Pelodiscus sinensis: one gene and its partner. The protein of the gene in region 1 purifies or fractionates together with the protein of each later gene. This does not show direct contact. Links are inferred from orthologs where the notes say so. Each region holds a gene or a part of one and is shown on either strand. Other genes may lie near its edges. The genes, in order: KLC1 and CLSTN1.

What was found.
Region 2: the proteins of KLC1 (region 1) and CLSTN1 purify together in Homo sapiens (co-immunoprecipitation; 3 studies listed by BioGRID and IntAct, with this or other methods). This does not show direct contact. The link is inferred for Pelodiscus sinensis from reciprocal best matches to the Homo sapiens genes KLC1 and CLSTN1.

What each region holds. Positions count from the first base shown.
Region 1 is NC_134714.1:20,261,549-20,276,632, reverse strand, and holds the start of KLC1 (kinesin light chain 1), read left to right. Parts: upstream 1-8,396; 5' UTR 8,397-8,685; intron 8,686-15,084. UniProt on the Homo sapiens protein: Kinesin is a microtubule-associated force-producing protein that may play a role in organelle transport. The light chain may function in coupling of cargo to the heavy chain or in the modulation of its ATPase activity.
Region 2 is NC_134733.1:12,831,251-12,846,288, forward strand, and holds the start of CLSTN1 (calsyntenin-1), read left to right. Parts: upstream 1-8,777; 5' UTR 8,778-9,033; coding exon 9,034-9,124; intron 9,125-15,038. UniProt on the Homo sapiens protein: Postsynaptic adhesion molecule that binds to presynaptic neurexins to mediate both excitatory and inhibitory synapse formation.

The DNA of each region.
Region 1 (15,084 bases):
CAGCACAGGAAATTTTCCCTTGGAGCTCAGGAGGTTTTGTATTGTTTCTATAAAACCAGCAGCCCCAGAGGATTATTGTTTGCTGGTTTGAGCTCATAAGGATTACAGTCATTACCCAACCACTAGTCAGCACCTTGAACTTAATTTAACATATAATTAAGAATTATATTCTAACCTTTAGTTCCATTATATGCTTCTGAGGAAATTAGAAAAGCATTTGCAGTTATTTGCAGCATGAATTTCTTAAAAGCCCCATGTATTACATTTTATAACAAAAAGGAAGAGGGTAAGTCAAATTAAATAGTGCCCAGAACATTTAATTCTAATCCTGGATTAGCTCACTCTCAATTAAGAGAATAAAAAAGAATGTGATCCTTTCTTTATGGATATAAATGCATATGTTCCTCCCATGAGGGATGAATTACAGATTTTGCAGTCACAATTTCACATGGTAAAATAAAATGGGGGGAGAGAGGGAAAAGGATGTTAAATTACTACACAAAAGGGCCTGAAGGTTAGAAACCATTATTCTTCAGTCTGGTTTTTGAATGAGGAGAGTTTGCAAACATATGGCCATGGTGTACCACTGGGCTCAAAGTTATAAAGTGGACACCACCTCTTCTAGCTGTGTTGGGTAGTACAAGACAGGTGCCTAACTCATTCTGACAGGAAATTCTTTTAAGCGGCTAAGATGCCTGACTGTCGTGGCAGATGCCTGCTTGAAGGTCACTGAACAGAGCTAGGCACTTCGCTGCAACCCAAACTTAAGTGTGTGTCCCTTAGAGAGTAGTAGGGCTGGTAGTCAAAAGAGAGAGCCTGATACGCGAAGCCTGGTAACAACTAACAGGGCTTTGTGCACAGTGATCTGCCTAAAATGTTCTAAACACTGGGCTACAGGATTTTCTGAGGTGTGGTTACCTCATCTCCACTTTAACTGAAGAACTAAATATTAATTGGGCTTCCAAAAGTCAGAACTATTTTGTAGTGACTATTCCAATGACTAGGACATTCATCTGGAAGGTGTCAGATCCTTGCTCCTCACGGGATTAGTAAACAGATCCCCTGGCCTATACCATAGCTGCCTCCTGGAAATCAAAGCTTATGCAAGTAGCTTTGAGAAAGAGAGAAGAGAAGTGAAGGATAGGGGTTCTGGCAAAGAACAAAAAGGATGGTGTTGTAAGAAAGGAGGTCACAAGGAAAACCTGCCATTCTCATGAGTTAAATCAGAGCTAGATTTTATTTATTCTGTATTGGGTATGTGTGGGTACTTCCTTTTTCCTAAAGCTGTTTGTGGTTTCAGGTTTAACTTGTGGGATGTTTTTGTTTGTTTACTCTTGTTCTAAAAGGATGCTTTCTGCCATTGTTCTTAATGGGTTGAAAGTTAGTCTGCCATCAATGAAGATGGTATCCTGTGTTCTATGAGGTAGAAAGCTATCAAGATGTTGGAAAGAAGATGATATAGGGCAGTGGTCTCCAACCATTTTAACCACAAGATCACTTTTTCAATTTAAGTGCAATGTAAGAGCTACCTCAAACCCACATACCTCTGCCCCTTCTCTGAGGCCCTGCCCCACCCCTGCCCCTGCCCCACCCCTTCCTCAGGGCTCACCCTGCTCACTGCTTTCCCCTTTTACCTCCCCCCCTCCTCACTCGCTTGCACCAGGCTGGGGTAGCGATTTGGGGTGCAGACTGATCTGGGCCCAGGGTGAGGGATTGGGGTTTAGGAGAGGGTTTCAGGGTGCAAGCTCTCGGAAGGACTTCGGGTGCAGGAGGGACTCATGTCTGGGGCAGGAGGTTGGGTGTAGGAGAAGGTTCAGGGCTGCGACAGGGGTTCAGGATGCAGGCTCTGGCTGGGCACCGTTTAACTCAGATGGCTTCCAGGTGGTGAAGCAGTGGGGTTAAGGCAGGCTGACTCCTGCCCTGGCCCCACACCTGTACCACTCCTGAAAGCAGCTAGCATGTGCAGAAATGGCTCCATGGCACCATGTGCTGCCCCTCATCTACAGTCACTGAGACCACAGCTTCTACTGGCCACAGTTCTCTGTTATTGATCAATTGGGGCTGCAGGAGCGGTGTCTGCAGGCAAGGACAGCATGTGGAGATCCGCTGCTCTGCCTCTCTCAGGGGCTACAGGGACATGCCAGCCACTTCCAGGAGCAGCAATTCCCATAAGGATAACTACTCCAGCCATGACGATTAGGCATTTTAGAACTCACTACTCAAATAATTGAATGCAAGCGTAAGAGAGAAATGAAAATTATGAAATGCACAGACCAGTCAGAAACCAAAAATAACACACACTTTATTTGCATTGCCAAGCTCCCTCCATCCCCTTCTCTCTGTGTCGAGATAGGGTACAGGAATGGAGGGAGGAGGGACACCTTGATATCAGCGCTCCCTCCTGTTCTCCCTTCCACGCCCTGCACAGCAAGTAAGAGGCTGGGGGGCAGCAGGCAGAGGACAGGAGCAGCATGACAGTGGGCAGAGGGGCAACTAAAGTAACAGCGCTTCATAGCTTCCTGGCCAAACCAGTCAGGATCATCTGTCAGAGGCTCCAGAGGATTCCAATACTGCTTGGCGACTGCTGATTTAGGGAACTAAAATGGGGACTAGATTTTTTAAATCCAAAGATATCCCATCCCACCCCAAGATGGCGGGTGACAGGTGCCACGTTCTGTACCTTTGGGATGGGGAAAGACCCAGGAAAATAGAGGGGAAAGGTGAAGGAAAGAATAACCCTATCTCCATTAAGGAGCTAAATGAAGACCCATTCCAATTACTTGGGGGGGTGGCTTCCTCTACAGACAAGGAATATAAAATACCATTTGCTTAGTTAATTAGTTAAATGTTAAGTTTAACCAGTTAACTGATTCAGTGGGGGCAGGTGGGAAGGACATTCCAAAGACAGCAGCATGGGAGGGCAAGCAGCAGTGCTTGTGGGGAGGCATCTTAAGAGGAAACCTGCAGAATACTCCACTTAGGAAGGAACAATCAGTTTCACACATACAGAATGAAAAATGACTATCTAGGAAGGAGTACTGCAAAAAGGGATCTAGGGCCCCTGACTTCAGTGATACCAGTGTAATTCTGCCTGTAAAAAATCAAAGACTATATTGTAATATATGTACAAAGGGGTAAGGTTAAGAGTGTTTATATGGAATTGTGAACTTTGCATTTTCTGACTCGAGTGCTTATCTGAGCATATTTACTGTTCTAGCACAGACCTTGTGGTATGGAATATTTATTAAAGCTCTGTGAAAGTGGCAAGAAATTGCAATCAATAAAGTTGATAGCATTAAACATTGCCAACTTAGGGCCTGATGAAGCAAAAAATACCAGACAGGCTGCTGAATCTGGCTTTTAGAGGACTACTATTGCCCGGACATTTTTGAACAGCTGCTGTATTTCACTGATGGATGAAGTAATTCCAGTGTAGCTCCATACTGTAACCCATATTAATATATTAAAGTCATTGGGAATCTTTTGTGTGCACAGAGTGCAGGAACAAGCTGTTTGTAAAACACTTTAGCACCATTGTGAGAGAACATATCAGATGGAAGATTATTTCTGAAAATCAAAATGGTGTAACAGAATGGCCTACGTAGAAGGAATTAATATGAATTTTTCTGTGGTTCAGAGACTATCTATAGCCCAGACTGTCAGTCAGACTGAACTCTGAGGTTCCTAGACTAACAGCTGTGACAAAAACAACTATTTAAACACAGGTTTTTGTATTTGATTGCTTGAACTGTTTGCTCCCTTTCCACAAATAACTTGTGTAAAAACATGCACTTCAGTGTGAGTTAAAGATCCAGATTTCTTTCTGAGATGGGAGGAAGCTTTTACACACCACATCCCCTCCTTCATGGTCAAAACTACCACATCCCTGGAAAGTCTGCACAGAATCATAAGGACTTGGCCTAGCCTTTTAATGACCCTCCTCTCCACGAGGGTCTGCAGGCCACTTCACTCTAAAAGTACTGTTCTGTACCTACACTGCTCCTTAAGCAAGAGCAGGCAAGGAAAAGATTTACTGCTGGTGTAACCAGAATCAATTCCTATGTAAATGGCTATCTTTTTTTCCAGTCTCCAGTAGGCTCTTGGGCTAAGTCTACACTGCAGGCTTTTTGTGCAAGAACAGGTGTTCTTGCGCAAAAATTGGCAGAGCATCTACACTGCACGCATGTTCTTGCACAAGTAAATTTACAGTAAAGCATCAGAAGAGAGGGCTTCTTGCGCAAGAGTTATTCCTCTATGAGGAATAAGCCCTCTTGCGCAAGGCAGTGTGGATGGGGACAGGGGTTTCTTGCGCAAGAGGGCGTCCACACTGCCATGGATGCTCTTGCACAAAAACACATCTCTTGCGCAAAGGCACATGGCAGTGTGGATGCGCTCTTGTGCAAGAACTCTTGCACAAAAAATTCTTGCGCAAGAAGCCTGCAGTGTAGACGTAGCCATGGGGTAAGTCTGCATTGCAATAAAACACTCAGGGCTGGCCTGTGTCCACTGGCTCAGGCTACAGGGCCATAAATTTGGGTTAGATGTTTGGTCCTGAATGCTGCTACCCTCCAAAGGAGGAGCAGCCCAGGTTCCAACCAAAGCATAATGTTTGGGGTTCATGGGGGCCAAAAGTAGGTTTCAGGGTGTTAGAAAGCCAGAGTGCCGCTCTGTAAGGCTGATGCCACAGACTCTGAGCCCTGCCTCCTAGGGCTGAAACCAAACCCTGAATAACTTAGCTTTGCAGGGCTTCATACTCTTAGAAGCCTATTCCAGCAGACCTTTCATGGAAGGGGCTTGTATTGTATTTGAAATCAGGTGGAAGCTTGCTGCAGAAGCACATAGTCCAAGTCTTTTCTGATACACATGATTAGCTAGCAAATTAGATACCTGTCTGACTGGAAGTTTATGAAATATTTACTACTTAGCAGAAATCAAAACTATATATAATATGCATTATGTATCTGGCCATGTTAGAGTAGTTGCTTTATTCAGAGCCATTCGAGTCTCTAGGGCAAATTAGTAACTACAGAATTTTTTTATGGGTGATGAAGAGATAGTGAATATTGTTTAGCCAAAAGACAGAAGCAGTTCTTTGCATCAGCTGTCTTGCATAATGAGGATGTTCAAATTTTAATTAAATCTTATGTATATTCATGAAAACTTATCGAACTGCCAGACCTAGTAGATCTGATTCCCCTACTAGGATTGCCAGACCAAGTAGATCTGATTCCCCTACTAGTCATTGATGTCCTGGTCAAAAACTGCAGTCAAAAAGGGGTCCCGGTGACTCCAGTTATCACTTCTGTCCAGGCCTTTGAGTCAGGTCAGCAGTGCAGTAGGGCTAAAGCAGGCTCCCTGCCCGCCCTGGCTCTAGGTAGTTTCCAGGAATGGGCAGCATGTCCCTGTGACCATTAGCTAGAAGGACAATCAGGGAAGTTTTGGGCACTGCCCTCTCTCCCAGCATCAACTCTGCAGTTCCCAATGATGGGAGCTGTGGCAAATGGAAGCTGCAGGGATAATGCCTGTGGGTGAAGTCAGTGCAAAGCTGCCTGCTCGTCTTTCTGCTTAGGAGCCAAGGGATATATCATCTCTTTTGGAAGAACCCCCAAGATAAGTCCTGCCTGAGCCCACACCGAAAATCCGCTCCTGCAGCCCAACCCACTGCCCCATCCACGAGTGTCCTTTTGCATCCAAACTCCCTCCTAGAGCCACACCTCCTCCCCCACTCTAGCCCTGAGCCCCCTTCTGCATCTCAAAAGCTTCAGCCCCACTCCAGAGCCTACACTCCCTGCTGGAGCCTGCCCCCCCCAAAGTCCAAGCTCCCTGCTCCAGTTCTGTACTCCAAACCCCTCAACTTCAGCCTGGACCGCCCTCTTGTACTACACCCCAGCCCAGTGAAAGTGAATGAATAGCAGGAAGAGCAAGCAACAGAGAAAGGGTGATGAAGAGTGGAGGGGTGCCCTTGGGAGAAGGGGCAGGGCAAAGGTATTTGATTTTCTGTGATTAGAAACGTGGCAACCCTACCCTCTAACTCTTAGGCTACATCTACACTAGCAGTTTCTTCCGGAAGAGCAGCCGTTCTTCCGCAAAAACTTGCCGGTTGTCTACACTGCACGAGCATTCTTCCAGAAGTAAATTTACTGTATAGCATTGTAAAACAGGGCTTCTTCCAGAAGAGTTATTCCTCTCCCCATAAGGAATAAGCCCTTTTGTGCAAGAATCCTCTGAACTGTCATTCATGTTAAAATTCGACACTTGCCAACAAGGACTTAACAAGACTTTGAACTTTCTCACCCATTACCAAGACAGTTTCCCCAATTATCACCTGTAATACCATTAACTCACAAACATCCCACTCTCCCTACCTTTAATATCAGCAATTCACAGACACTTACCTTCCTTCCTCCCCCTTCCCACCCCCCCGCATCCCCCTTCTGTTCTGCAATGTGATTTGTCCTTTTCATATTTGTTCATTTTTTTTAATTGTATCCTTTGGTATATATGGTTGTGACTACTTTCTTCCACTATTTGATCTGAGGAAGTGGGTCTGGCCCACGAAAGCTCATCATCTAATAAACCATCTTGTTAGTCTTTAAAGTGCTACATTGTCCTGCATTTTGCTTCAACTACCCCAGACTAACACAGCTACATTTCTATCACTATTCCAGAAGAGGGCATTGTAGACAGGCAACATGAATTTCTTGAGCAAGAAGTCCCTATGGTTAAAAAGGCCATCAGAGCTTTCTTGCAGAAGAGAGTGTCTACACTACCATGGATGCTCTTGCGCAAAAGCACATGGCAGTGTAGATGCTCTCTTGTGGAAGAATTTTTGCACAAGAACTCTTCTGCAAAAGAGTTCTTGTGCAAGAAGCTGCCAGCGTAGACGAAGCCTTAATGTTTAGCTTGGATATAGGGTTGTCCTCTACTTCTTCCTCCTCATATTCTCACATTTCTGTAGAGCTACCCTGTTAGCTCCCATAATGTGAAGAGTCTCAACCAGGAGCGGTTTGAGGCCGGCTGCGGCAGCTGGCGCCCCAAGCAGGCAGCGCAATTGGCGCCCCTGCCTGTACCGCCATCAATGGTCGTGACGTTATCATCGGGCGCCCGGGCCAGCAGCGCTCTAGGCAACTGCCTAGTTCGCCTAGGCTCATGGGCTGCCCCTAGACTCAACCTTTGGTAGCTTCCTATTTATTATCTAGCGAATACTAGAACTCTACTCAGTAGCTCCCTGCTACAATTTATGGTTGTAAGTGACTAGTCAACTACCTGATAAGCCTAGGCTTACAGGGTAGTCAAGTCAATACTCGACTAGTTGCTCCTCTCCCGCTGCCAGGAGAGTAGGAGCTGGTACCTGGCTCCTACTACATTTAAACTGCAGAGCTGCAGCTGCTATCCCCTAATTGAATAGTTTTTGAAAATTTAATTTGATTAACTGATTATCTGCATTTTAACATCCTTACTGCAACTTCCAATAGATAATTAACCATTAGTGGGCAGTTGACCTGTTTGTGTATATATGTTTAACTGTAAATGTGACCAGACATTTTCCCAGAAGCTCCTTCCTGCTAGCAACTTTGAGCTCTACCTGCATTGAAACCCCTTTGATTAGTTGCCTTCTTTAACTTGGCTGACTGATGGAGCAAAACAGTCAATCACAGTTGTTGTAGAAAGAGTGCTCTCCTCTCTCTTTGTAGCAATTTGAAACTTTCTCACAAGAGGGAAGGGGGAGTGGAGATATCTCCCCTCTTACCAGAAAAGAGGATGGCTGATTGACTCCTCCTGTCCCTCTCTCTCCCTGCACCAGCTGGTTTTAGAAGAGGCAGAGCAGGGAGGAAGAGCCCTTTGAGCAGGTTAGCCTGGAAAGGAGAGAGATCTTTCTGTAACCCTCCTTCTCCAGGTCTAGAAGGATGGGAGGAAGAACCCAGGGGGGCTATGAACTGATGGGAAGACTGAAGAGACATGACTGATTAGGAGCAAAACTAATTGCAAGGCAAGGGAGGGGTACCTCCTGCACCATGGGCCAAAATCACCTTAGTAAATTTGGGAGCCTTACACGCTGGAGCCAGAGCATGCTAAAGTGAGGACCACTCTTAAAATCTCGCCACTGCACCGGCTGGAGACGGAGTAGGGAGAACAGAGCTGGTCAAGAGGAACTTTCCTGACCATTGCTCCTGCCGGACACCCCCTCTCCCTGCAGGCGGACCCTTCTCTCGGAGAAGTCTCCTCGTTTGGCCAGCAGAGGGGGCTGTGGTAGTCCCAGCGCCTCGCCACTCTCCTGCTGCTGCCATAGGCGGGGCGAAGGGCCCTGCCGGCGCACGCGCCCCGCGGCAAGCTCCTGCCCCCACCCCAGGGATGACGTCATGGGTTTGGTCGCGGAGCATTGTGGGACGGGAGGAGCCGCCATTTTCGGTGGGGGGCGGAGCGAGCCGCACAGGCTGGGAGCCGGGAAGGGGACGCGCGGCGGCGGCGGCATTTACTGCCCGCAACTGTCAGCGCGTCTCCCGCGGGCGGCTCCGCGCCGGCTACCGGCGCGCCCACGGCAGCCGGCGGGCGGGGAAGCCGCTGGGGTTGGTGGTGCCGCCCTGCTCCCCCCACCGACATCCCCTCCGGTGCCCTCCCGGGGTGAGGAGCCCGGCCGCCTCGCCGAGCCCTGCGCGCATCGCCTCCGCTTGCAGCACCCGAGCGGTGAGTGAGGGAGAAGGGAAGAGGCCGGCTGGGGCCGAGCCCTGTGCCTGTCGGGGGCTGGGAAGGCGGGTGATGGGGCGCGGGTTGGTGAATAGGGGGTATAGAGCTTGGGGGGCTGGGGCCGAGCCCTGTGAGTGTCGGGGGCTGAGGGCGGCAGGGCGGGTGATGGGCACAAGGCCGGCGTGTTGGAGTAGGATAGAGCGGGGGGATGGGGCCGAGCCCTGTGTCTGTCGGGGGTTGGGGCAGCGCAGGAGGGTATGGGGTGGGAGTGGGTAGGGGGCGTGTGCAGAGAGGCAGCAGGAGGCGGTTGACAAGGGGTGGGGTTAGTCCGTGTTTTGCCATTTTCCATGAGCGCTGAACCTCACCTCCCTTCCCTTCTCCCATGACACAAACAGAACAAAAGGCTGGGCAGGTCTTGTTGGCCTGACGGTCCTTCTGTAGCTCATGGTTACAGCCAGCCTCTTCAGTATGTCTGTCAATCCCAGGACCTGCTCTGGCAGTGACTGTACTGGTGATTCTGCTGAAGAGATGCTGAGAGAAAGGGATCCTGTTCGTCTGGATTGCGAGCAGCTTTTTTGTTGTTGTTTCTCTTCTTTTCTTGCTCTTTCCTGGCTTCCTCCAGTGCTGCAGTTAGGGCCTGAGGATGCCCAAGGAGGAAACCCTGGACAGAGTTGTGGGATAAAGAGCTATTCCCTCCCTTGTAATGTCTTTATTTGCAAAATGGATAGATGGTTCGGTTGGTTGGTTGCTAGTTCTGAAATACTGAAAGAACAGTAATGACAGCTCTTGAATTTTCGTGTGTGGTGATTGGCTATATAAATTACAGAAGCAACAGCCATAGATTGTTACCTTTATATACCTCTTTATTGTTATACTTTAAGACTCTATGTATGAGGTCTTCACCCCAGAAGCCAATCATAGTTGCAAGATTTAAAAACAAACCCAAATCACAACTCTTCAATAAGCTGCACTTAATGTGAATGAAATAACAGTAATGTACATCAGGTTTTGTAGCTTCATAGGTGAAGCTTCTTTTCTTATCAGAGTCTTCCAGACCCCCTCAAACAAATAATTTAGTTTGTAAGAATGTGACTGTTTTTTTTTTCTAGATGACATATTATCTGTATAATGAGTGAGCCTTTATAGTCAATTAAATTCTCAAATAACAAATGTAAGCCTTACATTTCTGTAGTATGCTTTGTTCAGGGTATCTTGGGGATCATATCTTGATGATTAAGTGATAATTAAATGTACAAAAGCATATATATTTCTGCTTATTTTTCTTTGATTTATATTTTTTCTCTATATCATTTCAAAACTAAACATAACAGTAATGCAGTAAGCAAAACGGACTAAAACAAATGTGAAATTAGTTTGCATTGTATAAAATGAGAAATAAAAAAGTAAGCAAACATCCTAGATAGTATAAATTAATTTATACTATGTTTATTTTAAAATATGGATGATTTTACTAAAAAGCAAAGATTCTTAAAATATTATAAATCTGTATTGCTGTGACAATAGGAGCAAGCATGGTGCGTTATGGTATTTCATTTGGTGGATGTCTCATTTATTTTTGTTTATAGCTACACCTTGCATAGGAAACATTCGTCCAAATTAGCACACAAGATCATTCTTGAAATTTTTTTCCAGATACAAACATTGAAAAAAGTTGGCTACAATTTTGAGTTCAGCTTCTATTCAAAAATCATATTTGGCAAATAATTTTATTTTAATTGGTTATTAATTCCATAGCTGGGATACAATATAATTGAAGATAACCAAACCACAGGACTAATAATAGTATTGAGTAACAAGTTTAACATTCATAGACAATAGAGAGGAAGCAGATCCATTAGCTGAAATTGAGCACAGGACTTTCATGTTTTTTTCAGTCAGCAGAACAGTTTTATAGTTAACATGTTACTTAACAGGAAACTGCTGTGAAATTATAGCAAATTTGGAGAAGTATTATGTTGTGTTCAGAGCTCAGCAGACTTATGTGGGGAGGGGCAGAGGATTATAATAATCAATTCCTCAAAGTCACACCAGAATGCAGTATCACTTCTGCATCATGTTGCAGTTAAAAAGTTTGGAAGTCTTTCTGTTCCTCTGAGGATGATGGGAATGGACAATCCCATTAATATGAGGATCTATCAACATTATATTTATTTCCTGTTCCTTTTAATAAAAACAATATTGCTATCAAATAACATTTACAATCAAGGAAAATAAATAAGATGTTAGTTATATATTTTAAATTATCTTTTAAGCATTATAGCATTGAACTATTCGCATGTGCCATTTATCAAGGCAAAATGAGAGGCTAAGCGGCCTGGTAGTTTAGACAAAATAAGAAAAATCTAGCTTATCAGCATAAGAGTAATGGTGTATGCAACTTCAAATGAGGCATCTAAATTATTTAAGAGGAAGAATCTTTATATTTACTTTATTAAAGCAGGAGAACCGAAATAGTATTGTACAGGCACCTTTAAAATACAGAATCAGTTGCTGTTGCTATGCTGATGGAGGAGCTTTCCATGAGGTTGTCACAAAATTCTCACATATATACTTTCTTCTGCGCCTCTGCGTGTTTTTGGGTCTCCTGTTTGGCTGGGTGTCCCTGGAAGACTTCATTGTATCTTCAAATTTAGTCTCAAAATTTTTTCATTGAAAGTTGTGTGTTTCTTGAGACATTTGGATTTGAGCAGCCACTCTTTATCTTCATGTCAGGTATCTACAAATTTGTTACAAAGAGAAGGGAGAAAAAGTATTCTCCTTAACCTCTGACAGGACAAGAAGCAGTGGGTTAGAATTTCAGCAGGGAAGTTTAGGTTGAACTTTAGAAAAAACTTTCTAACTCACGGTGGTTAAATACTGGAATAAATTGCCTAGGGAGCCTGTGGAATCTCTGTCATTGGAAATTTTTAAGAACAGGTTAGACTAACATCTGTCAGGGATGGTCTAGATCAGTGTTTCTCAACCTTTTTTTTTTTTTTATAAAGTACTCCCTTAAAAAATAAGTTTACCTACAGTTTTCGGATGCACAACATTTTTTTCTACTGTTGCAACGCATTTATTTAAACAACTTAATCATAGTTGGGTGGGCAATGAAATTTTTGGGTGTAAAAAGTACAAAAATAATAAAGCACCATAAAACTTGAAACACAAATTTGGTTTTCTCAAAATTTCAGTTGTTGACGTACTCCACAGACTTCTGTCGAGTACCCCTAAGGGTACTTGTACCACTGGTTGAATAACACTGATTGTAAATATATCTCAGTGCTATCATGGTATATAATGAGGACTGATGGTGAGTTTAATCATTCAAATGTGTGTGTATATTGTTCCCTGGGAAACAACATACCTGTGAGTGTTTAGATAAGGGGTTGAACATTATAGGGGAATGCTTCAAAGGAGCCCTAGTACTGGTGTCCACCTATTGTTAACCTGCAAGGCAAAGTAGAGGATGTATAGCCCAGAGGAAATTGTTAGGGTGGCTAACTGACTGAATGTACCAAGGACCTAACACTTAGCAAGTCTACCCCTCACAGGAGGCAGGAGGTAAGAAGCGTAACATTCAGTCCTGGGCAGCCTGAAAACTTTAACAGCCATCCACATGACATTATCCAATGGCTCTTTACTTCCCGGGAGTTGGCAGCCAACAGGCTGACTTTCTCAGTGGTCTCTGTAGAACACCATTGTAGAGCTTCGTAAATCTCTGATGGCATTGGATTCCCTGTGGTTGACTTGTTCACCACCATTAACAATAAGTACCAGAACTCTTGTTCCAAAAGGAGCATAAACCCAAAGTCATTCCTCTTTCTGCAGTGGTTTTGAGGCCTTCTGAACACCTTTTCAGCAACTTCCTTCTTTCCAGGGTGACAGTCTCTTCTGAGTTTGGAAAAAGCCACAAGCACTTTTATAGCTCTGTCCTAGTTTTGGCTGACAAACCTGCCACTATTGACCAATTAGCTGCTGATTTAGCTTCTGGATTGTTGTACTTGCTTTGACAGGACCATTGCCATAAACCCCATGCAGGTTTCCAATAATTAGTCTGGATTGCAGTAGGCATATCAAGTACTATGGAGAGAGACTGCTTCATAAAGTCCATGAAATCCTGATACAGAACAGGTATCTGCCCAGAAGAAAGACTTATTCATGTAAATGGATTTTGATACGTGCATCCCAATATACTCTGGATCTGCTACAGGCCTTTAGACAGAAGATCCTTAGTTACCTGTTTTGCACTTCAGACTGTCTGGCCTTTCATTTATTTCTGTCAAAGTCTTCATCACAGGAATTTCAGCCTGTCAGCTTCAAGAACAATCATGCTCTGACTTTTTGTGCTTAACGTTATTGAAGTTCCTCAAGGGCTTTGACATACTTATCCACCCATCAGAGAACCTACTTCTTTCTGGGACCTCATTTAGCCTCCCTTTTGAACCACTGTCGGAATGCACCTTATATTACTCATTTTGAAGATGGTATTCCAGTGGCTGTCACTTTAGCTAGAAAAGTGAGTGAACTGTAGGTGATTGACTGAACTTCCCTATATAACATTCCACAGGAATAAGATGCTGCTAAGATCTCACCCAAACTTCATGACCAGTGTGATCTTGGTGGGATAGGTAGAGGGAGAGGGGGGACAGGCAGCACTGCAGAGCCAGTGCTGGGGGGAAATGGCTTTTAAGCTGTCTTCTCCCCGCTCCACCCTGCCCTTGCAGCCCCCTATTACTAGATAAGTTTTGAAATGTACCCATTAAAGCAATTAAACAACATTTCAAGGTTAATTGGAATATGATATTGATTTGGCATTTGTCTGCTATGACCATAAACATAGTATTACAACTATTCAGAATAAAATTCCACATCTTAATGAACAGGTTTTTTTGGGGGCTTAAGTATGTGCCTAAGTACTTCCATCGTTGAGAATTAGTGAATAGTGACAGTAATTGGAGTGGCTATAAAATAAAAGAAATCAGATGAGATCTAGGTCACTAGGTGTTTGTAATAAACTGAAAGATAGAAACCAGCTTGCATGTCACTGCTGTTTGACACATTTTTACAAAATTATGGACTTGAGCACTGATGCATATTCAAGAATCTCATAAGAATAATTAGTGTTTCATATATGCATATGAACACAGATGTGTATATTGGCTATCATGCTTGTAAGGTGGTCACCTCAATATATACAACTTACTAAATCTTTTAACTGCTATAATTTCATTAACTGTTCAAGACCTTATTTTCCATTGAGCAAATATATGTGCAATAGATAAGCCAAGGGTGGACAATAAGCATCCCACATCCAGCTTATGAGCCACTTACTGCCCATCCCTGGGATAAGCTATTAAGAAAAATGTTTACTGATGGTTTGTCTTGACAAAACATTTGGTATATTTATTGAACTTTTTCAGAATATACTAGAATGTGAGAAAATCCAAAGTAATCAATACATGAAAAAAAGATTTACTTTTGAGCCTCTAATTTTATATAATCACTTCATAGTTATATACATTAATCATGAACATTTCTAGTGTCTAAGATAGGGATGTTAAAGACTAGTCTTCTATCCGATAAGCATTTGTGTATTGGGTAGTCTTTTGACTAGTCAATTTCCCCAGCTGATTCCGGGGCTCCACTTCCCCTTTGAAACACACAGAGGTGGCATTTCAAAGGGGCAGCCGTACAGCTGATTCGGGGGAGGGGGGGGCGGGCTTGTACATTTCAAAGGAGGAATGCGAAAGTGCCTGTCGACTAGTTGATAGAAATTCCATCGACTGATCAATTAACCACATTTTAACACCCTTAGCCTAAGATGGAGATGAGATTCCCAACTCTTTGACTTTTAAAATCTAGAACTTTTAAAAATTATCTACCCTTCTAGGATGCATGTGCTAACTCCTGCAGTTTTTACTTGGACAAAATTGCAATGGGAGTTTTCTAAGGGTGTATCTACACAAATCCAAGCTTATTTCAAAATAGGGAATGTTTACACAGTGAAATAGAGCACTCTTCCTCAAACTTCTCTTATTCCTCATACAATGAGGGTTACAGCAGTCGGAATAAGAAGTCCTCCAGCTTGACAGCATTTTGACACTATTTCAAAATAACAGCCTGCTGTGTAGAGGTGGATTAAGTTATTTTGGACTAGTGCTAGTTATTTTGAAATAGTGTTGCAGTGTAGACGTACCATTAAGTGAACAAAACAGAATTTGTTTCTTAATGATTGGCAAGTGCTATATAAGGGAAAGTTTTATTTTGACAGATGCATTTCAGTCTTAAGGAATTAAGATAGCTACAACTGTCCTTTTATTGGGAATCTATATTACAATTAAGTGTGTGGGTGTGAATTTATTTACAGGAACTGTCTTTTTCTTAAAGGTGATGTGA
Region 2 (15,038 bases), on another chromosome or scaffold:
TTTCAAGGACACCAGTCCACTCGTTTTTCAGCTTTCACAGAAAACATGTTCTGCCACCAGGTCTTTGTCCCAGTTTTATAGGCTACTAGTAAGGCTACGATTTAGCTATGAGTATTTTTAGTAAAGGTCATGGGCATGTCACGGGCAATAAACAAAAAGCCACAGACCATGGCCCATCCATGACTTTTACTAAAAATACCCCTCCCTCAATCTTAGCTGTTGGGGTGGGGAGAGTGGCTCCCACAGACACTGCTGCTCCTGGTGAGGGTGGCTTGGAGCCCCAATGCTGCTGCTGTTCCTGATGGAGGCTCTTGCTGCAGTAGCTGCTGCTCCAACTTGAGGGACAGCACCCTGGGGCCCCACTGCTGGAGGTGGGGGGATGGCCAGTTGCCTGGGGCTGCCTGAGTAGCAGCCAGTGCCCTGCTGTTCAGGTGGCCATTGGATTGGGTACACTGGCCGCTGCAGAAGTCACAGAGGTCCCAGAAAGCCGTGGAATCCATGATTTCCACGAAAGCCTTGGAGCCTTAGTTACTAGAAAAAAACAAAATTGCAAATGATGACAAGGCAGGCCAAAGTGTATGAGGAAGACAGGTGGGAAAGATTATAGAGCGTGTATGATGGGTCCTATGAAAATAATAGCCTCTTGCATTTTCACAGCAAGCAGGGATCCCTTGCATCACCAGTGAAATGCATGAAGCACAGCCGCTGCTTGACAGAAAACAACAACACTACTCAAGTTTAAGGGTGTGTTTAGACTACAGGGTTTTGTCGACAAAAGTGGACTTTTGTCGCCAAAACTATACCTGCATCTACACTGCCGCTGAATTCTGTTGACATAACATCAACAGAATTCAGCAGTTTTGTCGATGGCTGTAAACTTCATTCTACGAGGAATAACGCCTTTTGTCGACATAGTTCTGTCGACAGAAGGTGTTATTGCATTTACACTGTCCTTTGCGTCTACACTGTCATGTCAACAAAGCGGCTTGCTTTGTCTGTTGACAAAGCGGCTTGTTTTGTCTGTAGTCTAGACACTCTTTGTCGACAGAAGCTTTGTTGGCAGTATCTGTCGACAAAACTTCTGTCAACAAAAGCTTGTAGTCTAGACGTACCCTAAGATAGGAACCAATTTCAATTTCGCCCTGTAATTGCAGCATGAATTTAGGCTGGCAGACTGCAAGGCATTTGGTTAGGATTCCATCTTTAATAATCTTAGGAAAGTGCCCAAAGATCTTGAATTATTCTAAACATGGCATTCTATGTTTCTTCATTCTATGTTTCATCCAGAACTGGCATTTCCAACACCACAACACTGTGTAATGTTCTGGGTTGTAGGAGCTCCAGCACAGCAAAACACTTAAAAAGTCCTTAACATGATACTTAAATCTCACTGACTTTACTGACTCAATCAGCAGTGACTCTGATGGAAGAATTTTATTCAATGAGATACCGGCAGCACCTATCTGCTCTTTGGAAAGCTCTCAGCTCCATGGTGCTCCATCCCAACCTAGAATAATTAACAAGGTGCTAGTGCCATAGCACCCCATGACATAATTGCAGATGCATTCATTTAAAAAAAAAAAAGCTAATTTGGGAAAGCATCTATATCAGCATATAAAGAGGCCCCGAAATATTCTCTCCTCAGTGTCTCACCTTTGTAGGTTTTGCAGGATTGGAACCATTTAGTTAATCCCAGAAATATTTCCCCTCCTGACAAACTTATGATATGGCACTCTAGCTGGAAAAAAGGTATTAAGGGCACATATTTTAGCAGAACTCAGGTTAAATCTCTTACTGTCGTACGAGAGACGGTAATATTATTTAATATTATTTTCATTATTTTCGGATACAGGAATAGCCATGGCATTCTGGATTTTGCTTTTTAAATATTGTTTTCTTTGCTGTTGTATGTAATAAGAGCTCGTTGTTTGTTGATTTACATTTGAAAAATGTGTTACTTTGCAGAGAGGACTGTCCATACTGCTTTGAATCCTGACACATTTACATTTCCCACTCAGAGTTAGTGCACAATTCTGTTTCTAAAGACTCCCAAGTGTGGAGGATTTATCAGATCTCTGCCTTATCACACAGGTATCAGTGGCTGTGCTTTAATTGCCCTGCAAACCTTTACTTGTGTGTGGTCCTTCATTATGCATTGAGTCAATAAAATTACTTGTGTGAGTAAGGATTTGTTGGATCCGACTCCTACTAGCCACCTAAAAGAAAAATACATATTATTGCACATTTTCATCTGGTGAAGCATTGACAGAATGTCAGGATTTAGATACATACTGCAACAGCAGGGCTAGAAGGTGGGATAGCTCAGTGGTTTGAGCATTGGTCTGCTAAACACAGGGTTGTGAGTTCAATCCTTGTGGAGGCCATTTGGGGTAAATATTTGTCAGGGATGGTACTTGGTCCTGCTGTGAAGGGATGGGATGGGACTTGATGACCTTTCAATTTCAAGGTCCCTTCTAGTTCTAAGAGATAGGCAATCTCCATTAATTTAAGCTTCTTTTAATATAATGTGTCAGCATATGTTGGTGTCACTTATCCTGGCAAGTACCCCTTCCTAGCCACCTAGTAGGACTGCTATAAAGGGAATCCAAATCTGTGTTGCCCTGGGTTTTCTGGGGGTATTTTAAGCTCTTGGGGCCTTACTGGAGACCAGCCATGGTGTAGATGCTCCCAATTGTGGTGTAGACAATCCCAATTTCGAAATAAGCTACGCAATTGATGTAGCTCAATTTGCGTAGCTTATTTCAAGTTAAGCCCTGCTGTGTAGACAAACCCTGAGTGTTGGAACCCATTGTCCAGCTACCTAGCCCCTCTGCATGCAGTTCTAACCCATCAGCTCCCTGGTACTTAAGTAACTCTACTTTCCTGGAACTCCACCCAAAAGGTGTGAAGCGTTCAGTTTACTGTTTCTCTCTTTCAGGATCAACATGATAGTTGTGAATGCTTAAACTTTAAAGGCAAGTCTACACTACAGAACTACATTGACCTTATGTTGACTTAGTCACTGAAGTAAGTCAATTGCTTTTGTATCTCTACCTTATGCTGCTTGCAGTGCAGGTGTGTGTCCTTACTAGGAGCGCTTGCACTGGTTAAATTGTCAGTGTGGGGCATTGCGATATGGTCTCTGAAAGGCAGCAGCAGTCAATGTAAGTAATGGACTGACACCGTGTTGATCTAACTTCATTGACCTGAGCACTATGCCTCAAAGAGGTGGAATTATTAAGTCATCAGAATGGACGAGTTACTTCAGCGGGCACGACATTTTAGTGTAGATATTTCAGTTTTAGGTTGACATAAACTGCCATGTGATGACCTGACCTTGCCATAGAGTAAACTGCCTCTGCACTTATTCTAGCTCCACAGCTCTTTACTTAAGAAAACACACAGAATACAGATCATACAGAAAACCATAAAACACTATACTAAATGCACTGTCCTCCGGTAGCTCACCCTTTCCTTGAGAGATCACCTGTGTTCCATCAGGCAGGCAGGGTTCTTTGCTCACCCTCATCTTAGTCTGGTGCAAAATGGTTCCATCTGCCCTCTGTGTGTCCCTTTATAATTTCGTTTTATATATATATATATATATATATATATATACAGGCAGTCCCCGGGTTACATGGATCCGACTTACATCAGATCCCTACTTACAAACGGGGTGAGGCAACCTCGCACTAGCTGCTTCCCCCCAGAAGACCAGGGAGACGCAAAGCTAGCACCCCCCCCCCCCCCCCCCCAGCAGACCAGGGAGACACAGAGCGGCTTTTCTCAGCAGACACCTCAGCTTGAGAATAAAGGACTGAGGGAAGTTAGGTGTGGGAGAATAAAACTGAGCGCTGGAGAAATGTTTGGCTAGAGTTGCCCCTACAATATGTACCAGTTCCGACTTACATACAAATTCAACTTAAGAACAAACCTACAGTCCCTATCTTGTACGTAACCCGGGGGACTGCCTGTATGTGTGTGTGTGTGCGCACACATGTGTGTGAAGTGGAGGTAGATCAAACCTATTGTCCCAAGGTATTTTACTTTGAATAGACTGTTGTTTTCTGCTTCGTCATCCATCTTTATCTCCAGCGTGGCAGAGACCTGATCCAACCCTGCTGACTCATAGTGGTGCCACATACATATAAGCTTTCCAAGGCAGGGCAATGTCATGCTACCATTACATAACCTAATCCACAACTGAAAAGTGGTACAGTCAGAACCTCCCAATCCTCACAGTTGGGCATTTTGAGAAATCAAGACATTTTAATGGGAGATTTGACTAAGAAATGCAGATTGACTTTCTAGCTGCTGATAAAATGGTATGCTGAATTGTCCACCAGCCCCCAATATAAATAGCTGTGAGGAAAACTGGTTGATGATGATTACAGAGAGTTGCTCAACTGGCAATCAGGGAGACTATTACTGACTAAGTCTTCCCTCAGGATATTAGTTTGTAGTTTCTTGATTTTTTTTCAGAACATGATGGTGCTAGCAAAAGTGCTGTAATGTGTGTGTAGAATGTTTTTTCTCTCTCATCTGGATGCAAATTAATGTTGTGGGACTACTTTGGTTTGCTTTCTGATTTTCAAATTCTTAGAGGTTTTTTTTTCCCCCCAATTGTTCTATTTGCTGGTGAGCAACATGTCAGATTCAGTTGCCCTGATGCTCTGGGTCCATCTTGGCTGATGTCATTGTACCAACAGTCTTGGATTGGCAAGTGGGCTGTGCCCACGAAAGCTTATGATATCTATATGTTTTGTTAGTCTTGAAGGTGTTAATAGACTATTTGTTGTTTTTTAAATTTATCCTGTAAAGACTAACTCAGCTACCCCCTGAAGCTTTTGGATTGGCAAGTCAGACATTGGTATTTATGCTGCTTATACCTAAAAATAAAATAATAAAAATCCACCCTCTTGCTCCCCACAAAGGAAGTAATAACATTACAAGTGTATTTATACAAGCGGTCAAAGCCCTGCTACTTTGTTAGAAACTAACAAAATTGTATTGTCAGGTAATGACAAACTTGGCACATCCTTGAGATCATATTAAGCTCTAATAAAACTCTTTGAACAATCCACGATATGGCATTTCTCCAGCTGCCGAATGGCACCTTGGAAATTCAAAGAGCAATCTGAGTAGCAGAAGCTGTTCCCTGAGGATGGAGCCTCACTGAGAAAGATCCCCGAAGGGTTTCATTTTCCTTGAGCATCAGTTTGCAGAGGAAATGATGCATCTATAAAGAACTGTGTAAAGAAAACGAGCCTATCCAGACATGCCCTGTGACTGAGCCCAAGAGATGCTCAACACCCACAACTCCCACTTGAGTTAAGGGAAGTTGTGGATACTCCACACCTCTCTGGATCATGCCCCATTCTATAATGCTCTCTGTCATCTTCTAATGAGTCAGTCTGTTTTAATAATACTGTGGATATGATAGCACCTTCAATGTGAGATTTACACACTATTTTACAAACCCAAGTTTCAAAGTATCCCTGTAAGGAAGATATTATTACTATTTTACCGATTGGTCAACTGAGGCACAGAAAGATTAAGTAACTTGCTTAAAAAAAACCCACATAGAAAATGTTTGGCCCTTCTAGGAATAGAACCCAAGAATTCTGGCTCAGAGCATCCTGCACCAAGCACTAGACTTTCCAAGCTCCTTTTAATGCTGTGGGACATTCAGTTTCTTCTTTCACTACTTTTCTCTGTCATGTAGTGGGATATATGCTCACAAGATTTTGGCTCTATACTGAGAAAGCAGTCATATTTTCATCATAGAATGTGTAGCTACCAAACTACAAAAAGCATCCTGGAGTGGGCTGGATAATTTAGGGGATTGGTGCTAATCTTTACCTTCAGGTTCTGATTTAAATCCAACCCAGGATGCTAGAGAGTGAAAGTCGCTTCTTAATGGTTTTTTTGGTGGCCTACATGAAAAGTGTTTGGTTGTCTTTATCCAGTTCTCAATGATGAAGTGTCCATTAGACAAAACACATCATAATTGTCACTAATTGTCTTTTAGAAGAGAGATCAAGGACTGACAGGTGTCGGAAATAAATTATCCTCTTGCCTCTGGAAGGTTGGTTGGCCCCCCCTACATCTTGAATTTGTTTTACTACTACATTGATGGGACAACCTGGGAGGAGCTGTTACTGGGACTGCCTGTTCTATAGATAAACAGAGCTGTCTGTGATACCAGCACTAAAGTCACATGATGAGTTTAAATATGAAAAAAGATGGAAACAAAAACCATATCAGGGGTGTCAAAACAGTCTGTGTTTTATTTTTATTTCACTGTGGAAGTGAAATTGCTAATAAATGCAAACCAGCTATTTCTGTAATGATAAAATCAGTCTGTCTCACTTTGTCTTTTATGAAGCTCCATAAATCTGGGAAGGTAAGATTTTCCTTTTTGGATCTGGCTCTCTGATAGAATTTTTTGATCAAAGAGCAATAACAAAGGAAGCTGAGACAATCACCCTTCTACAGCTATACAAGTACTATACCCCTAAATTATTCATATGCAATCTTCTATGTGGGGCACCTACATGTTTTCGCAGATAGAACTAATAACCCTGTATCCTAATTTAAAAAAACAAATCCATGTACATAAAATGCATGTCACTAATCAGCACGTCTGCATATTTTAGGTACTTCAAAAACAGTTTAGCTACTTTATGCAGAAAAGTTTATACTGTTCAGTTATGAGAAAGGTATTTTGTACTTTCAGTTTCCCCATCTGTAAAATGGGGCTAATAATTCTTAAAGGAACACTAACTCAGAAATCACCTATAGCTGGGATCCTACATACTTATGTATGTACTTAATATCAAGCATTTAGATAAGTGTACACTATTGTGACTTAGATTAACCTTCTCCAAAAAACACTCCCCCCCCAAAATACTTCACCATATTTTTCTGTTTTTTCCACTTTGTGCATTTGACAGTACTTTATACAGGTGTCTTTTACCATTTTCCCGAAAGACTCCCAGCTATAGTGTGACATGTGTGAGTGGACCTCTACATATGTCTTGCAGAATCTGGGTTTTAGGGCTTGATTCTGTTCCTCCTGAAGTCAATGGGCAAAACTCCCCTATTGCAGGACTTGTAGTGGGGGGCGAGGGGCGAAGGGTGAGCCAGATCTTGCCTTGCTGGAAACATCTCTGTAAACATTAACACAGGAGCAGGCAAATCCCTTATAAAAATGTAAAGGGATGTTTAGAAGGTTAAGATATACTATTTAAAAGTTGATGTATCAGGAAATGGACTATTTTAAAAGTATTTTTTTAAATGACTTGATAGTGTCCCACTACGGAGTAATGAAGTTTAATTAGTTAATGTTCGTAAAATAACTTCAGATCCTAAAACATTATTTTTGTATTCGCCAGATACAGAGCAATCTTGTAAAACAGTTCATTTCAACTGCAGTAAGGTAAACAATGAATGATTATTTGGGGAAAATCAGGAAAAACTACCACAACAGTGGAAATTAAGTACACAACAACAGAAAGAAGACAACAATCCTACATACTTTGAAGGGAAATCTAGCCTCCTAAAATAATTGTTGCCTCAGGGCAATTACACCGCAAAGTGTCTCTTAGGTAAATCCTGTGATCTTCCAACAGTTCTTACCCAGGCAAAATGTCCTTGGTATCGGATTTTTGGCCGAGTAAACACTAAAGGGGTTTGGTTCCTGGGTGGATTACACTGCATTGCAGTTTGTGAATTTTAATACAACGCAGAAAGGAAAAAAGCATCGCGGGTGAGACAGCATTTCACATCCCCACCATCCGCCCACTCCACGTGCCCACAAATAAATAATTAACAGGGGCCACCGTTTTAACTCCTCCTCCATCCAGGGGAAAGCACGCGAGTTTGCCGTGGAGTGTGAAGTTGACTGCGACGCGAAAGGCACTGAGCCTTTCTTGCCTTCCCTCCCCGCATCCCAAGACGTCTGCATTGCAGTGCAAACTGAATCACGCACCGGCATGGAGCGCTGCCTTCCGCTCCAGCCAACACAGACCACGCGAGCACGCCCCGCATTGTTAGTTATTTTGATCGGGGTGGCGCCCACTCGGTGGTGCTTACCACGGTGCACAACGGGGCTGAGCATCCTCCTCTACCTTCTGCCCCTTTGCAGCAGTAGAGCCTGCAGGGCAGGACAAAATGGATGGTGCCTCTGACTCTCCCTCCCTCCCGCCTCCGCTCCTACCTACACAGAGCAAATCCGGTGTGATTGCAGTGGGTGATGCTTCATACCCATGCAAAAGGGCTGGCACATGAGCACCGGCCTCCTGCCCCCTGCCCCTCCCTTGCCAAAGGAAAGGAGCCCTCCCCACGCTCCAGCCCTGGACTCTGCAGAGGGGCTCAGAGGCTGTGATAGGACACCTGAGAAGGACACTCTTGGTTCCTTCCAGGTAGAAGAGTGAAAACCACCTTCTCCCCACAGAGAGGCGATGGCTTCTCCCATCTCTCTATTGCCCCAGATGGTATTTTCCTTCCCTCCACCCCCAGCCACCCAATGGAGGGGTGGGTTATCCCCTCCCTTGATACCCCCCTCTACAGGTTTGGTTTCTCTCCTCCCTCGAATCCACACCAAGAAATAAGGTGCTCCCCTCCCATAAATGGTTCTGCCCTCTAGCCCCCAGAGATAAGGTGTGGTCTCCTCTCCTTTTGCCCCCCCCTCCCCACTCCAAATGGTTTGTTCCCCTCCGCCAGAGGGATAAGATGGTTTCTCCCATTCCTCATCTCCCGAATCCCTCCCTTAGAGTTGGTTTCTCCCTGGGCCCCCCTCCCCCGCCTGGTAACCGGTGCGGGAGAGAATGAGCCCAGGCATCAGCCGCCATCTTGATCCTAGCTGCCGCTGGCAGAGCGCTGCGCTCTGAGGAGGGGAGCGGAGCCTTCGCAGCGCCCCTAACCCTCCGCCCCGCAGCGCGGGACGCAACCAGGCCCGCTGGGGGGCCCCCTCCTCTGTCTCTTAGGGGTCCATCCCCCCTGCCACTCTGAGCGGGCAGAGCGCGCGCGATGCTGCGCCCCGGGATGCTCTGCCCCCGCCTAGCCCCCGCCTGGCTCCTGACCGCTGGGCTGCTCTGCGGGGGGCTCTGGGCTGCTAGAGGTGAGTGAGCCTTGGAGCCGTGCGGCGGGGGGGGGGGGGGGGAGCTTGCTGCAGTGACCTCCTCCCTGGAGACTGCGTGCCCTCTGCGGGGGCTTGTCCCCCCAATTCCCCGGGACACCACCCCCTTCCCCGGGTCACCCTGTCCGCCTTCTGCGGGGGCTTGTCCTCCACCCCTTCCCTGGGACACCCCACCCGCCTTCTGCGGGGGCTAGTCCGCACCCGTTCTTCTTCAGGGATGTCTAGCTCCATCCCCCATCTAACGATGTAACCCTAGGGCACCCCATCTCTCCCTTCTGGGAGGCTTAACCCCGTTCCCCTTCGTGGTGGGGGTGGGGGTTACTCCATTCCCTGTAACATCTCCTACATCCTAGCTATAATCGCTATGGAATTTAACCCTCTGTTCCCTTCTTTGGTGGGGGTCTAAGTGCATTCTCCTTGTGGCACCCAGTTTACCTACCTCTGTTTGGGATTTGAACCCCTGTGTTCCTCTCGCTGATGGAGGAACCTGGTTTCCCCATGTAATATCTCCTTTATCCCTCTCCTGGTGGAATTTAACCTTCACTTATTTCATATGGGAATTAATCCCTTTACATTGAGCAAAATCTCCTCCTATGAGGGGGCTGAGTTGTGGGCGGAGGCAATGTCTTTGGCTTCCTCCATCCTTTGGGCACAGCAGGATGATACCCCTCTCCAGAGTGCTAGGGATAGGAGGGGGTTAGTCCCTCTCCTCAGTGGTGCTGCCTTAGGGGGTGGGGAGTTATCCCCATACATAGTGTGGCAAACATCACAATCATAGATGATGGAAGAAGGAGGAGAGAGTTGTCCCAGTGAAGGAGACTTCCCAACAGCCAGATCTGGGGATGATTTATCATGTGTGTTCGTTGGGGGGTAGCAAAGTTGAAGCCCTACAGACTAGGGAGGGGAATTGCTACCCACACTTCTCTTTAATGCTGAGGTGTGATGATAGGCGGTAGTGGTGGGTTATTCCTGGTAAGGAAGACTTGCCCACCTCAAGTTAGGTTGTTCTCTTCCTCCTCCTGGCAGATGCAGCTTGAGCTAATGCCTGCTTGGGACTCTGTTTCCTGGGTTTCTGGGAGAGGGTGGGAAGGCATTGGCTTTGCTAATGACATCAAGATATATATCAGTGCAGTGTCTACTTTTTTATGAAGGGGGCACCCTGAGATTTTGGTAAGTGATCAAGGGCTGCGTTTTTCAATGGAGGGGATGTGAGGTCTTAGATGGAAGTTGGGTGCAGAAGGGAGCTTGGGGTTATGGATTGGGGTACAGGAGAGGGTGTGGAGTTTGAGAGGAAGTTTGGGTGAAGGAGGAAGTTGTCACCTGGGATAGGGAATTAGGAAGGAGGTGCGGGGTGCAGGAAAGGATTCTGTCTTGGGGGAGCAGTGTGAGAGGAGTGCAGGGTCTGGGAGAGAGTTGTCACCTGGGAGAGAAGGGTGCAGAGGGAAGGGATGGTGACCTGGGGTAGGGAGTTGGAGTGTAGGAGAAGGTGGGGTGTCAGGTGTAGTCTCTGGCCTAGAGGCACTTACTTGGTGGCTCCTGACTAGCTGGACCTTCAGGCAGGCTCTATGCCTGAGAGGGCAGGCTGCAGGTCAGATGAGCCATATTTTGCCTGCCCCATGTGAGTGAGAAGAAGAATGCATGAACCATAATCGTTCTGCCTCTGTTTTGGTTTTGTGGTTTTGTGGTTACCTTGATTAGGGTCTGTAACAAGGAGTGTGTGGATGTTACATAATTGTTCCTCCAAAAACTCTTGGATTTTACATTGTGAATATTTTCTTCTTTTCTTTAAGCTCAGTTTGGTTTTAAATTAATAGAGGTGTAGAGGTCGTAACTTGTATCAAACATAGTCCGAACTCATGAAATGTGGTAAGACTATCCATGCAGCCCTAGACTGGCTGCATATTGTAAACAGTCTCTCAGCTGGTTCTTGAAAGGCAGGGTAGTTGTGTGTGTGCACAGCTTTTAAAACTATGGTGGTATTTCGGTTAGTGGAAGAGCTTTGATCATTAACTGGGAATAGAAATGGGAAATCTAACACCTCAACGAGCCTCTCCCAATGACATGTTTTTTTTAATAGAGAACATTGTCCTGTTCCTAAAGCAAATACAATTTTATTGCATCTTTTGCCATATACCCTTTTCAGTGTTGGATATTGATTGATGTTGCAAACTGAAAAGCATACGCATTGCAGATCTGTTTTTGAACAGATTTCATTATAGTATTGCAGACTGTTCTTTACCAGAATGTGAACCTATATATTAAAAAGGGCAGTTTCTGTAAGATTATTTAATTGATCTGATGGTGGTATTTGTGGACTGCATTTTCTTTTCCTAGCATCCACTAGTTTGTAATAGCATCCGGACTTCATAAGCAATTGAAAGGCTTCTGTCTATGAAGCGCACAAGCTCTTTTTAGGTACTCTGACAAGTTATTACTAATCTAAAGACCAAAATGTAACAATATTTTATCTAATATTTATTAAATCATCTTGTAATTTCATTTTAATACTGTGTATCTGTGGAACATGAATACTTGGTTACCTTGCTGAGATATCAATATTAGAATGAAGATTCGAATACACTCTTGCCTTTGTTCTTTTTCTTAGAAAAGATGGCAGCAGAAACTTAATTTTCTACTTGCCTGTTTTTATGTTTTTATGTAATTCTGAGACTTCTGTAGAAAGTTGTACGTAAATACTAGTTTAATTGTAATCAGCTAGTATTAAATCTACAATTTCTTGTTAGAGCCCAAACTGTGTTTGTTGTCCATCCTGATGCTGCTTTTACTAGAGTAGAATTCTGAGTTGCTAGATTCTAAAGATTAGTTCTTAACTAACTTGTTACAGATATTTATGAGACTTCATTTGGCTTTGGTATGTGCACAGTTAGAAACTGTTTATCTAAATATATGTTTATTGTCTTTTAAATAAAATATAGAAAGAATCCAGTGACTAGTGAAAGCTAGCAAAGCTTGTCATGGTGGTGTAATTTATAGCCTAGCATTCTGTTGCTATACTTAAAACTGAAAAAAATATACTTACATTCATAGATTAAAAATAGCGAATCTCCATATACTATTTGTTACTAACACATTAACTGTTTTAAAAAGCAAACAGTACTAATTGAATACTGGTATGTCATTCATCTTTGATACTGAGAACAGACTAATCAATTTAGTTGTATATAATCAGTTTAACTTTCTGGTCCTCTTAACACAATGCAAACACTGCAGGAAAATATCTTTGGGATGGGAAGCTGTTTTTTTTGCTGGTAATTAAAATAAACAAGAACTCCAACATGACAAAATATGGAAACATTTTAAGTTGGGCAAGGTTTTGTGTGTGTGTAGGTCTATCTAATCTATCTAAAAACCCTAAATTGTCATCTGAATTTGACCCGACAATGTGCTTTTCATACTTCAGTTGTGATTTCTTTCTAGTGTTTCTGTCCTTCAGAGAATTAGATAAGCTTAAATGTCAGTTTTTAGTTTTTGATTAATCAATGCATCCTGTTATTGCAAAGAACTAGAATATAAATGTTAAAAGTCCATACTATGTAGTTTAATGTCCATAGTATAAAAGGCAATTTTATGAAATTATTTCTTTAATGTTTATCTTGTAATAGTTATGTTGGACTAAGAATGTGGCTAGGTCTACACAACAGAGTTTTTGCGCAAAAATAGGCATTTTTGCGCAAAAATTTGCAGCGTGTCCACACCTGAAGTGCATTTTTTCGCAAGTAAAATGAAAGAACAGAAGGGTTTTTCCGGTGTAGGTATTCCTCCTTCTACGAGGAATAACTCTTTTTTGTGTGTGCAAGAGTTCTTATGCAAAAAGGTGTATGCGGACGGGCAACAGGGTTTTTTTGCACAAAAACAGGAAAGAGGAAAAAGCACAGGTGCTCTGGTGGACATTCTGTGGATAGCTATCAACACTTTCTTTCAAGAGAGCATCCATGTATTGTGGATGCTCTCTTCTGCAAAAGCACATCACTTTTTCAATGCGCGTTTGCAGTGTGGACGCTCTCTTGCCTAAGAAGTTTTTGCAGAAGATCTCTTCTGCATAAATACTAGTTTAATTGTATTCTGCAAAAAGCTTCTTGCACAAGAAGCCTGTAGTGTAGACATAGCCTGTGTGTTATAACAGAATTGTTAAACATGTTTACATCAATTATTGGAAAAGCTGAACTGTTAGCATTGAGAAATACTCTTTAAAGCATTGGTTAAATACTTCACTCTGATAAATGGAACTGAAAGGGAAATTAAATTGTAAAGGGAAGGAGTGCTTCCTTTCTTTCTGTCTTTTGAATGAGAAGACAGTTCATTCTTCAGACATTGGTCAGGTAAAACATTAGCTACTTCTGCTTCACCTCAGGCCTTATGTCATGTCTTTTAACTGAGTGATGAAGATCACAGAAAGGAACAGTAAAAAATCAAAACAGTAGTTATACCCAGGAAATCATCACTGATTTTGAGCAATTCAAGAGGTTTCTTGTGTTCCTATGAATTTCTCAGTCCTACCTACAAATAACTTTCTTACAACTACCATATTCCAGATAGCTTATTCCAGACATTACTGTGGACAGTCTTCATTATACAGAATGTTGTATATTAGGGATATAAAATCCCATTTAATTAGTTAGTCAGTTAAACATAATGTTTAACCAGTTAACCATTTAAACAGCCTATGGTGCGATGGGCCCAACGAGCCCAGGAGGGGCTGCTCCAGCTTGACGGGGCCGCTAGTTAGTCTGAAAGATCATCCAGGTAAGGGTGTTGCTTACTGGTTGACTACTGACATCCCTAAAGTATATGGTTCCTCTTTTCACTCCAGAAAAGGCAAAATTTTAGATTTTCCTAAAAAAATGACTGCATCCAAAGAATTGTGTGGTATCCTTTTTTTAAAGTCCTTAATGGATCTAAAAGAGAAGAAGTGAAGGAGAAATGGATAAGTTACTGGTAGAAAAGCCTTTATTTTAATACTTTTGGGTAAGGTGTGGTATAATGGCCACTTTATCAGTTGGATGAGACAATGCTAAGTGGTTTTTCCATCCACAGTACAAATGAGATTATATGTGTCTGCAGAGATTAAAGTGGAAGAAAACTGATGCTGTCTAATCTAGTATATTTTGTTATGTCTTTGTTTCCAGCATTGCACTACCTACTTTTTCTTTTCTCATAGAAATAGAGTGCACTCTCCCACTTTGCAGCCAGCAAAGCAATATGAGCCATAAATTATACTGGTAGAAATCTTTGGTGTTGTAAAAATAGCCTTTTTTAGTTAAGGTGTTGTAAAAATTGAATGTGACTTGTAAGCTTTCATTCTCCTTTCTGAATTACTCATGAAATACCCATTGTAAATTTCTTTGCCCACTGCTTATTTCTGTCTATCTGGTTTTTAACTCTGGTAAAATCACAGGCTACAGTCTCATTAATGTACATTTTTATTAACTGAATTTGCAATTTGTGTCAGTCTGTACAGGAGCTCCCTAAGGTCTAGTCCAGTGTTTCTCAACCTTTTTTTTTATAAAGTACCCCTTTTTCAAACACAAAACTAAAACAATTATAAGTACCCTCACTACCTACAGTTTTCAGACACACCATTTTTTTTCTATCATTTCAACACATTTGTTTAAACAACTTAATCGTAGCTGGGCAGGTGATGAAATGTTTGGGTGTAAAATGCACAAAAATAATAAAGTGCTGTGAAACTTAAAACAAAAATTCAGTTTTCTCTAAATTTCAGTTGTGTTGATGTACCCCACCCCTTCCCTCCCCTCCCCCGACCTCTCTCTGGTACTCGTACCACTTGTTGAGAAACATTGGTCTAGTCTAGACCTTACAATTACATTGACCTATGTCAGGGTTTCTCAAACTTCATTGTTTGGTGACCCCCCCC